Linked DNA regions of Rattus norvegicus. The protein of the gene in region 1 interacts with the protein of each later gene in a pairwise test. Links are inferred from orthologs where the notes say so. Each region holds a gene or a part of one and is shown in the gene's direction. Other genes may lie near its edges.

Evidence for each region. The genes of interacting proteins can lie anywhere in the genome.
Region 2: the proteins of Bbln (region 1) and Thap11 interact in a two-hybrid assay, tested with the Homo sapiens proteins (2 studies listed by BioGRID and IntAct). The link is inferred for Rattus norvegicus from reciprocal best matches to the Homo sapiens genes BBLN and THAP11.
Region 3: the proteins of Bbln (region 1) and Cep290 interact in binary tests that used the Homo sapiens proteins (3 or more experiments, as listed by UniProt). The two-hybrid records come from large-scale screens. The link is inferred for Rattus norvegicus from reciprocal best matches to the Homo sapiens genes BBLN and CEP290.

The regions. Positions count from the first base shown.
Region 1 is NC_086021.1:36,072,271-36,076,531, reverse strand, and holds Bbln (bublin coiled-coil protein), read left to right. Parts: upstream 1-1,461; 5' UTR 1,462-1,553; coding exon 1,554-1,632; intron 1,633-3,765; coding exon 3,766-3,938; 3' UTR 3,939-4,207; downstream 4,208-4,261. UniProt on the Homo sapiens protein: Essential for intermediate filament organization in intestinal cells, interacts with intermediate filament and regulates intestinal lumen morphology.
Region 2 is NC_086037.1:50,655,624-50,659,156, forward strand, and holds Thap11 (THAP domain-containing protein 11), read left to right. Parts: upstream 1-1,215; 5' UTR 1,216-1,433; coding exon 1,434-2,360; 3' UTR 2,361-3,033; downstream 3,034-3,533. UniProt on the Homo sapiens protein: Transcription factor, which has both transcriptional activation and repression activities. Also modulates chromatin accessibility.
Region 3 is NC_086025.1:37,195,616-37,199,582, forward strand, and holds the start of Cep290 (centrosomal protein of 290 kDa), read left to right. Parts: upstream 1-1,167; 5' UTR 1,168-1,339; intron 1,340-1,873; 5' UTR 1,874-1,901; coding exon 1,902-2,003; intron 2,004-2,158; coding exon 2,159-2,236; intron 2,237-2,923; coding exon 2,924-2,993; intron 2,994-3,791; coding exon 3,792-3,838; intron 3,839-3,967. UniProt on the Homo sapiens protein: Involved in early and late steps in cilia formation. Its association with CCP110 is required for inhibition of primary cilia formation by CCP110.

The DNA.
Region 1 (4,261 bases):
CCGCATTGTAGCAACACATTGCTACAATTAGCATGCACTCTCTTCTAGCTCCTAAGCCCACCCTTGCATTAATTTCCTGGTGTCCACGGGGTTGTGCTTCCTCTGGGGTTTGAGGAAGAATCCACTTCCCTTCCTCTCCCAGCTTTACTGAAGCCTCTGTGCTGAGAACAGCCTGCACTCTGGAATAGCCACCGTGACATGATGCCACGGGGGGGGGGGGGGGGGTGTCACCTGGCCATTACAGCTCTAGGAGTCCTGGTAAGTGAGTGTTCCTGAGACACTACCCTGACCCTGAGCTGGATCCCGATTACTCTTCTGGGTCCCATCCACAAGTGGTTCTGGATGTTGACTTTGTGTAGGTCTCTCTCTCTCTCTTTTTTTTTTTTTTTGGTTCTTTTTTTTTTCGGAGCTGGGGACCGAACCCAAGGCCTTGCGCTTCCTAGGTAAGCGCTCTACCACTGAGCTAAATCCCCAGCCCCCTCTCTCTTTTTTAAAAATATTTATTTATTTATTTATTATGTATAGGTCATACAGCTTTCTGCCTGCATGTACGCCTGCATGCCAGAAGAGAACCAGATCTCATTACAGATGGTTGTGAGCCACAATGGGTTGCTGGGAATTGAACTCAGGGCCTCTGGAAGAGCAGACAGTGCTCTTAACCTCTGAGCCATCTCTCCAGCCCCGTGTAGGTCTCTTTTCCCTTCCCAGTGTGCATGGCATGGGGGAACGTGAATGCTGGAGGTCTTTATCATGAAGTCTTCCGTGATGGACTGCCACAAGCAAGGATACTTAGCACACAGACCTTCCACAGACCCCAGGCGCACCTACAGAGCACACCAAGTCTTTTCTGTACTGGGAACCAGACACACAACCCTTCACGCTCCTTCCCAACCCATGTCATATTTATTGGCGTGAATCAAACAGATTGGCTTTATTTACGTCTACTGTCCTGGTATGGAATCTGATCTCACCCGAAAGTGTAGCCTTTGAGAACCCTAAGAGAAGAGATGAGGCCAAGATTGGCCAAGATAGGACAGGGGTTGTGGGTCATCTCGGCAGCACCAGGGGGAGGTGGGAAGATGGCAGATTCCTGGTGACTGGGGAGGAGAAGTTCTGATTCCGACCATGCAGAGAGAAGGAAGCAGCAGGATGGAGTCTCGTACATATCCCAAGCTCTAGGGGGCTAAGGTCTCTACTGCCTGACCTTCTGTACGTCCTCGGGCTCCGCTGACCGCGGGTCACTGCGGCCTGGAGAGGGGCGGGGCTCAGAAGCCAGAGAAGGAGGAGCCTGAGAGCGGACGGGGCGGAGCCATGTTTGTGGGCGTGATAGAGCGCCGAAGCAGGGAGGGGGCGGAGCTCAAAGGGCGTGGTAGCGCGGAGGCCTAGGGGCTGGGCTTTGGGCGGGGCTCAGGGCGGCCTGAGTGCGCTGCTGCGTTCCACTCTTCCGGCCCGGTGTTCCATCAGCTGCTTGCACCTTCCGCCCAGCGCCGGCTTTCCGCGCGACGATCGCCGAGTTCCATCTTCGCGTGGCCTCTGCGGCGCCCGAGCCCGCAATGTCGGGCCCCAACGGGGACCTAGGCATGCCGGTGGATGCGGGCACGGAAGGCGAGAATGACAGCTTCGGGGAAGCAGGTGACCTGGGAGGAGAGGGGTTGTTGCTAAGGCGACCTTTACTCTGCGGGGAGTACTGGCCTTAAGATCTGGAATCGGGCGGGGACGGGGGGCGTGGGAGGGCCTGAGGAGTTGGGCTCTGGAGTTGTCCCCACAGCCACCTCGGAGGCGATGGCGAGCAATAGCAAACAGATCCCTGAGCGCTGCAGTACTGGAGAACTGTCGCTAACCAACCCTGGTGTCTGAAACTGAGGCAGCTTCAGAGCACCTTGTCAGTTTGGGATTTGCTTCAGCCACTTTCCTCGCTAAGAGGGGGCGGTCATGCATGGCTCTGCAGGTGTTGGCCGGGTGGGCTCCCCACTATGCTGAGTCAGCACCCCAGCCATCTGGCTTTGCTGGTGACCTCCTTACTGAGTACTGTGCTTGGGTGCACAACACTGCCCAAGGACCTCAGGGGACGCATCGGCCCACAGACAGCTTTTGCACGTTTGGGAACCTCAGTTTTCCCATCTGCAATATTGGGCACATTGGTGTCTTCTGTATTGAAGTGTGTCAGAATTTAAGGGAAAATGGGATAGAAATGGTTAGCTTCTAAGATTCCAGAGTACAAGTTCCTTCTGAAAGCCGGTTCTTGTTTGTTTGTTTTGAGTGTTGTCAAGTCTGGTGCCTTACCTAGAGGGCAGGACTTGATTACTGTGCAATAAGGATGGGGTATGCTTTTGTTTTCTTATAAAAACTTTATTAAGCTGTAGGTAACACACTAGATTGTACCATTTAAACTGTACAGTTCTGCAGTTTCATATATTCACAGCATAGTCCTTGTCACAACAGGTTCAGAATATTTTTGTCACCTGGGTTCTGCCCTTAATAGAGGTTGTCGTCCATTTGGAGGCATAGTGGGCACTGTTGGACAATAGTGACTGCTGGCAGCCACAGTGAGCATCATGAGGGGACTAGGTGAGGTGGTGGCATAATTGAATGACATTGGGGTGGGGAAGAGGCTGTCCCAGGACTGGAGCAAGGGCTAGGAAGTACCCAGGACGTAGGTGGAGCCTGCAGACATCACCTCTCCTAGCCCTTCTGCTGGCCTGCCAGGATGGATGGGAACAGCTAGCTACCCATTAAGTGCTTGGTGTGGCCTGACCCCGACTGAGCTCTCAGTGTACTGCAATTGCAGAGTCCCCTACCCCACTCTAATAAGGAGTGCTGGGCTAGAGCAGACCTGGGACTCATGTAAGGGTCTCTGACCCTAGGTCTGAGTTTTGACCCTGTCACCAGATGGAATGAAGATGGACTAGCAGCTTGAGAGGCTCTAGGCTGTGTGAAGGATGCCCTCTGTGGGTCATGGGAACTGTCCCTGAGAGGCAGCACATACACACTCATGCTCCAGTCGCCCTCCCTGGCCTCTTCCTTAAAACCACCAGCTCCTTCCCTTTGTTCCCAAGTTGGCAGCTGGGTGTTTCTGAGTCATGGGCTGGCTCGGAAGTGGGTCCCGCAGTGGGCACGGACCCAGACCTTGGATCCTAAGGAGACACAACATTGCTAAGAGGCAGGTCAAAGAAGCTGTAGAGGACGGAGACAGGAAGACTTCTCAGAGGAGGGAAGACATGGAGGAGGAGGTATTTTGAGTAGGTCCTTGAAGGATTGTTGTGGCTGATGAAGTAGATGGTAGACAGTTAAGCAAAAGCAGGGACTGGAAAGCCAGAGCTTCATTCATTCATGCATTCACTCATTCATTCATTCAGTGCTTATTTGTGTCATCGAGGGCACTGGGGAGATAGAGAACACAAGACCCGTCACCTCCCCTAGAGCTTGATAGTTGAGTGTGAGCAGAGGGTGAGCTCAGACCAGCACACTACAGCAGTCATTTCTGAAGGGTTGCTGTGGAGAGGGGGAGGCTGGAGAACCAGGACAGAGTCTGATGTAGTACCGGACCCAGGGAGCCTCCCCTTGGTGACAGCTAAATTGAAATAAGCGGTGGTCATCCCAGAGGGAATGACAAGGGTGCCACCCAGTGCCTTCTAGGCAGGTCACCGGTCTATTCAAAGGGCCTGAATCGGACAAGGCAGGTGAGAGGAGCAGAAGGCTTTGAGCTGTATCTGTCAGCTCTAAGGAGACACAAGACCTTCTCTCTATCTTTTCCCTTCCTCCCAGAGTATGCTGCCATCAACTCCATGTTGGATCAGATCAACTCTTGTCTGGACCACCTGGAGGAGAAGAACGACCACCTCCATGCCCGCCTCCAGGAGCTGCTGGAGTCCAATCGGCAGACACGCCTGGAATTCCAGCAACAGCTTGGGGAGGCCCCTGGTGATGCCAGCCCCTAGGTGCCGGGAGCCCCCAACCAGGCCCCACCCTTACCTCTCTAGGCCATGTTCTGGCCTGGCTAGATACTACTTGGCTTAGACACCATCTCAGGTACTGGCCTCCAGATCCCCTGGTGGGTCTACCAGCCTGGACCAGTCCCCACTCACTGCCCATCACTCTTCCTGGAGTCAGGTGCAGTCCTACAGTTCACCCACTTGTCTGCCTTCCCAGCTCCTGGTCTCTCTCCCCTCCACCCAGATTGAGTGTCATATTAAAGAGGTCTCCCACACCACTGCCCCCTTCTTCTCTTTGTGCCCGGACAAGGACCCCAGTTGCCACTGGA
Region 2 (3,533 bases), on another chromosome or scaffold:
TCAAAATCTGAAGGAGTCTGGGAGGAGGACAAACATATAGAATCAAGCTTAGGCCAGGAACCAGAAACTATGGATTGCTTTCTTTTTTTTTTTTTTTCTTTTTTTTTTTTTTTCTTTTTTTCTTTTTTTCGGAGCTGGGGACCGAACCCAGGGCCTTGCGCTTGCTAGGCAAGTGCTCTACCACTGAGCTAAATCCCCAACCCCTATGGATTGCTTTTTTAAAGGAACCAAAGAGGCTTCAAATCCAATCAACACAGCTGGAGTCTTCATTTCAGTCTCCATTTCCGTACCGCTTCAGTGGAAGTTCCATGAAACAGCCCGATGATTCTGAAGTGCCATCAAGTCACTTCTAGCTCTAGCTACTTAGGTTTCCCAGGCGAGGCGGCAGGTATCTGTCCACTTCCAAGTTTCTTATTGGCCTATCTACTCATGCCTCCCTTCGTCATTGTCTTCTTTGTCCAGCTGATTCCTTTGTGGCCTTTATTGATTAGACATCTATTGGCGCTTACTCATCTTTTATCCATAAGACACTCTAATTAGTCTCCAGGAGAGAGAGCGCTGGGGAGGACCTGACTGCTCAAAATTACCTTGAACGTGTTTTCCCCTTCACTGTTTGGCACATAGTAAGCAGCTAGTAGGGACCTGGTTTAGGTCAGTGAGTCCAAGTTAGAGGTAGTTGAGAGTCGGGAGACTGCTCCCAATATAAGAAAGTGACTCCAGAAGTTCTTCTGGGCTGACTTGGGCTTCCTCCAGGCTAATGAATGCACTGTGGAGTTTGGGGGGATTTTTAGAGCAAGCTATAGAACCTCACTCAAATCCTGGCCTGCAGGAACTCCACCTCTCCTTTAGGCGGCGCTGCAGTCCGCGGCCGCACCAAAACGTTCTTCTGATGCAGCATGGAACTTGTAGTCTTTGTGTGTTAGACACAGAGCGCTTGCGCTCACGAGGCACGCGCCCCGTACCATCAGGATTCCGGGTCCTTGTGAGGGGTAGTCCGTGCGACAACGTTCCATTCGAATACACTTCCCCCCCTTCGCCTTGGACGAGCTTTATCTGGAAAATAATCGACTCTGAACAGGATATCGCGGTGCCCGGGAAAGCAGCCGGAATAAGCCCGCCCCATCCCGGAAGTGAGCGGCTTCTGGCGCGGTGCATTGTGGGGGGCGTAGTCCTCCTTTCCAGGCGGTCCTTCGCGGCGTCCCCCGGGCCGACTCCGAAGCGCAGGCGGGCTGCCGGGTGGGTAGCGCGGCGCGGGCGGTCCGCAAGCATATTCTGGGCACGGGGCCTCCGCTCGGGAGGACTGCGCCGGGCGGCAATAGTGAGAGACCTCTAAGAGCCTCGCGCGGCACCGCCCGTCGAGGAGCTGAAGTGGGGGCCAGACCCGGCCGTCGAAGAGCTCAAGAGGCCGGTGGGCCGGGCCGCGCGTCGCAGCCATGCCTGGCTTTACGTGCTGCGTACCGGGCTGCTACAACAACTCACACCGAGACAAGGCGCTGCACTTCTACACGTTTCCCAAGGACGCTGAACTGCGGCGCCTCTGGCTCAAGAACGTGTCCCGTGCTGGCGTCAGTGGGTGCTTCTCCACCTTCCAGCCCACCACGGGCCACCGTCTCTGCAGCGTTCACTTCCAGGGCGGCCGCAAGACCTACACGGTGCGCGTTCCCACCATTTTCCCGCTGCGTGGCGTCAATGAGCGCAAAGTAGCTCGGAGACCTGCGGGAGCTGCGGCAGCCCGCCGTAGGCAGCAGCAGCAGCAGCAGCAACAACAACAACAGCAGCAGCAGCAGCAACAGCAGCAACAGCAGCAGCAGCAGTCTCCGTCCTCCTCCACTGCCCAGACTGCCCAGTTGCAGCCGAATCTGGTGTCTGCCTCTGCGGCCGTGCTTCTTACTCTTCAGGCCGCCGTAGACAGCAGCCAGGCTCCTGGAACCGTGGTTCCAGCGCCCACTACTTCCTCGGGAGATGATGTGAAGCCCATCGACCTTACAGTGCAAGTAGAGTTTGCAGCTGCTGAAGGGGCAGCCGCCGCTGCCGCCGCATCAGAGCTAGAGGCTGCTACAGCTGGGCTGGAGGCCGCTGAGTGCACTCTGGGCCCTCAGCTGGTGGTAGTAGGGGAAGAGGGCTTCCCTGATACTGGCTCCGACCACTCATACTCTTTGTCGTCCGGTACCACGGAGGAGGAGCTCCTGCGCAAGCTGAATGAGCAGCGGGACATCTTGGCCCTGATGGAAGTGAAGATGAAAGAGATGAAGGGTAGCATCCGCCATCTGCGTCTTACCGAGGCCAAGCTCCGTGAAGAACTTCGAGAGAAGGATCGCCTGCTTGCCATGGCTGTCATCCGTAAGAAGCACGGAATGTGAATGGTTCCTCCCAGAAACCTGCAGAATTCGTGACTCCTTCCAGCCCAAGGAATCCTCAGGCAGATGTTGAACTCCCCAATATTCTGGTTGACAGTGCTGAGGTTTAGGACAGTGGGACTTAAGCTGGTCAATTGGCACCCTCTTTCGTTTCCTCCTGAAGTAGGAGTTGGGGACTTCAGAATCTGGTGACACCAGCAGTTATGACTTTGTCTCTCACTCCCCAATTTATGTTGCAGATTCTGGTTATACAAAGGCTTCAGAACCATTGAACTTGAAACTTACCCTGGAGGGGTGCAAATGGGACTCTTAGGGACTGTGGGTTTGAGAAAGCCCACATCTTAAGGTTGGCCAGCAATTGAAGACAGCTTTGCTGTGTGTAGTAATAAGAGATCTCAGTAACATCATTTCTCCTTTTCATGCTACCCGTTTCAGGTGCAGCCTGTGATTCTGATGGAGACTAGTTGATCTGCGCCTCTGCCTGTTAGGACCTCTCTACCCAGAAGGTCATTTATCAGAGGACTCTGGGTGACTTGCTGATGGAGATCCAGCTGACCAGGGACTTAGGTTTATCTCGTTATGTTTGCTACTGGTTACAAATTCTATTTTCTGTACAATTAGACTGAAGTTTTCACTGTGTTTGGCAAAACAAATTAAACAAGAAAGTAAGGTTTTTATTTGGGTTTCGACATTTTATTTTTATTAAAGCTAAGTGTCCTTGAAATATAGGAGTATAGGTCTTGGCCTGTTTGAAAGAACAGGCTAGCCCAGAAGGTAGAGAAGCTTTAAAACAATGGCCCGGTTTCTCCATAAAGCACATAGATCTTCATAAAGTTCCTTGTTCAGGTCACTCCAAAGAGTTTGGAAGCTGCACAAAAGGTCTTGGTTTGTTCATGATTATTTCGTCGGATTGTTGTGTATGTATACATACATAAATGTGTGTAGTATGGGGTTGCCTGCCAGAGGTGCTATACAGCCTTTTTGGGGTTGGGGGGAGAGGGTCTTCTTGTGGTTGGTGTCTAGCTCAGTGGTAGAGCACTTGCTTAGCAAGCACAAAGCTGTAGGTTCAGCCCAGAGTTCTGAAAAAGAGAGGAGGTTGGAGGTGTCTTCTCACTTGCTTGGATCTCACCCAGAGATAGGCTATTTGGCCAACCAGTGAGCCTCAGGGAATCTGTG
Region 3 (3,967 bases), on another chromosome or scaffold:
GATGATGTCTTTAAAATTTGTTTCAAATATCATTTTTTTTTGCGCTATTTGTTTTTCACAACCACAGAAATCTTTTCAAAAGCAAATTTTAACTGTCTACATTTTTCTTTTAATTACTTATTATCTATTATGTATGATACATACAATTACTCTATATACCCATTTATACATACATAAGCACATATGAGACACACTGTTTCAAACAGAAGTTTACAGCTCCTAATGTTACCTGCTGGTGTAGAATGACTGTGGAATTGGAAAAAGTTCCTAGAGTAAGAAGGCAAACATCCGAGAAGGTGCTTTCACCCAAGAACCCCCCTTGGTACCCAGCAAATGACAGCAAAATGCCAGAGCTTGGCATGGCCCTTCTTCCTCCCTCCAGCAGGGCTGGTCACGCACTAAGCCTCCCCTTTCTTCGGCCTTCACTTCACACTTCTTAACCTAATAAGCAAGCTGCAGCAGGAGGCTGTCCATCCTGATGCTCCTCCACTCAACCAGAGCATGAACTCAGGGGGTGGGGGTGGGGGCGCTCCACTTTCCCAGACACTTAGGGAAGCTGGAAACTTTTATTCACTCCCTTCTTACGGAAGCCACTAACTGGGAGCCCCCAGCATACACCTGAGTAGCTGGAAGACTTTCTCACCTCTGTAAGATCCGCCGGCGCTCCAGCAGCCCCAAAACAGAGCTTCCCTAAAACGCAAATGTTCCCTGAGCTCCTCCCGGCCGCTGAGTGACCCGCCCCGACCTCACCTGAGGGCGGCTCCGCCAAGAGATGGTTCAGGAAAGCTTCGGAGACGGTGGACCGGAGAAGGACTCTGCAGAAAACACTGTCATAGTCCGCCACGCTCCGGCTCCTGGGCGGCCGCACCTTAGCAGCCGCTCCTCCCGCCTCCCGATCCTTCCCCAGCTCTTCCAGGGCGGCCGCAGCCTCTCGCATTGCACGCCGGGAACGCGCTGCTCTTCCCAAAACTTCTAATCCCAGTATGCACAGCCGCAGCGCCGAACTGCACTCTGGGACGTAGAGTCCTCTTCTCACGGCTTTCCCTCATCCACAGTGAAAAAAGGTCTTGGAGGGGGAAACATAGCCGTAAAGCTTTTCCCCCAGTCGTGAAATGTAGTCTTCCCTGGTATCCGGGGCCTAGTTCCGGCCTTGGCTGGCTGGGCGGGGAGTGGTGTCGCCTAGCAGCCGGCGCCGCTTCGGCTTGTTTGGGAAGAGTTGGCGGGAGCAGCTTGAGTGCGCGAGGACAGCTATTGGAAGCGAGAGGCCCAGGCGGTGGCCGAACCCGGACGTGATCGCTGTAGATGAGTGACTGCTGCTGTTTTGCCCGTCTTGGTTTAGGTGGGTGGATTCTCGTGAGCCGGAGCAGCTTAGTGTCGGTCACAGGTTCATAATCCTGGGGGACAGCGTGCAGCCTACCTACCCAGTCCTTCTATCGCTCTTTTCCGCAGTGCCTCTGCCTCCGTGTTTGAGCTTGGTTCCGCGCACACTTCATTTAGCTCAGTCTTTATTTATCCACTTTAAAAATCCTCTCGTCCCCTGTCCTCAGAATCGGAGGAGGTATTCAAAAACTTCCAAATATCTTGAGAGTTGGTACCATCATTGATGATAAGGGACTTGGAAAAGGGGACTCGGGGTTTTAGCTCCGATTTTGTTTTAGCAAAGAAATAATAATTTAGCATGTGTATGATCGTATAGTCTGTGACAGGTGAACTAATTCTCATCTTGGCTGTTTGCCTATGCATCTGTTTTTCGGTTCAGGAGCCATAGCTCTCAGCCAGCACCTAGGGAGTTAAGTTAGAACGATCATGATCATGTAAACACTGCAAATGCCATCTTCCCTGAAAATGCTGAAATCCATCTGCTTTGTTGTAGGAACTGAGAGGCAGTGAAAGAATTCAAGATGCCACCTAATATAAAATGGAAAGAATTAATCAAAGTTGATCCAGATGAACTGCCACGTCAAGAAGAGTTGGCAGATAAATTATTGATATCCTTATCCAAGGTACTTAATACATGATTTGTACACAGATCCTGAGGTACAATGTCACGAATAGAAATTGCTTCTTCAAGTAATTGAACGCTATAAGCGGAAGAGTGATTGTATTTTATGCACAGGGTATGAAATAGTCCATGTATTTTGTGTGTTTGTTTCCTTAGGTGGAAGTAAATGAACTAAAAAATGAAGATCAAGAAAACATGATACATCTGTTCAGAATTACTCAGTCACTAATGAAGGTTTGTGGGAAAGAGTGTGTAGGAAAAGAAACTTTTTTTAAGAGTAACATAAAGAAATATAACCAGGGGGTCAAATAAAATGCAAAACCTTTCCCCTAAAAGCTAATTGTGAAATGACAGGATTCTAGATTCTTTATAAATAAATACTGAGAAAGAATATGTATTAATTCGTTCCGTTAAGGTAAAAGCACATAGAAAATTTGTAGGGTCTAAACAGATTTTGGGTTGGTAGTTTAGGGTATACTGTCCAAGGATTTGAGGGCATATTTTGGCTCTTAGCACTTTAGAAACGAATAAAGGATTTTTGAATCATAGTTGGCCAATATAGAAATATGCTTATGAAGGAAAATTAAATGTATTGTATAGATGGAAGGGATTAGAGCTGATTAGCTCCAATTATAAGAAGAGATTAATACATTTATTAATAATAACAATTGGGATAGAAAAAGATAATGAAAACATTGAGAATAGTGGATATACTTAACAGAAAAATCAGGTTCAAAGTCTTGCCCCTCTAGAATTTCTAGCCTTAAGTATTTAGTTAACAACTACTTACTGACTGACTCTCTGCGCCCGTCACTGCACACACTAAAGACTGAGATAGCGAATTTCACACCATTTCGATTTCCACTGTTTATATTGCAGCGTAAATAACCCCGGATCCCCCCCTCTTGTTTTAATGTTCAGATGAAAGCTCAAGAAGTGGAGCTGGCCTTGGAAGAAGTTGAAAAGGCTGGGGAAGAACAAGCAAAATTTGGTAAACGTCTAGGACAAAAAAAAAAACCAAACTACTGTGGTTCTATTTATTAGATGGTTGGAAGTTTATCAGATTCTATAAAGTGTGCATTCAATTCATATTGGAAGAGGCTACATCCTTGCCCAGTTCCAGGGACTGACCTGAGTGCTGAGGTAGGGGCTGAAGAAGAGAAAACACAGACACACAGAACAGTTGGATTCGGTCGCACTGGGCTCACTGACGGAGAAGCTGCCACACCCCAGAAGCTCAGTGTCTTTATTCGATCCACTTGAACAGAGTAGTGGAGTTGTTGCAGGGCCGAACATTAAGTCAGGTGACGGCATACAGATAAACAAGGCGACAGGATTGCTGGCAGACAGTTGAACAGGGAGGCAGAGCTCGCTAATCTGAGTAGGAGTAGTCTCTGTAGCGGAGTCAAAGCCATGAGAGGGAGCAAACTCTGGTGGATATTTTCTACAGATTCTGTCAACATCCACACTCAGACTCAGAGGGAAGGCTTTGCCATTTGCCATAGGCCTGAGACTTTGAGTTACTGACATGGCTTTGCCCGTGTCAGCAGGTACACGTTGACTCAGGACCTCACGCACTCAAGTCTTCCTCTGCCCTCTACATCGAGGCATTTCTACAATGCATAGTTTATGCATTTAGTATATGATAATTACTTTCCTTTACATTATCTGATAAGAGGATGGAATCTTTTACAGAGAATTGTACTATTTTATTGAAGTTTACTTAGCATCTGTCTGACTACAGGAAATTTAACCAATTGAAACATTTGTTGTTGTTTTTTTTTAATAGAAAATCAATTAAAGACAAAAGTAATGAAACTGGAAAATGAACTGGAGGTATATCCTTTTGTATTTTCTTGCTTTTGAATTTCCTTGTAATTGTTATTAATTAAAATATTTAAAATTATTTTCAAATTTTCCTACTGCTGGGATGGAAAATACAAGGCTTTGTGCTCAAGAGTTTAC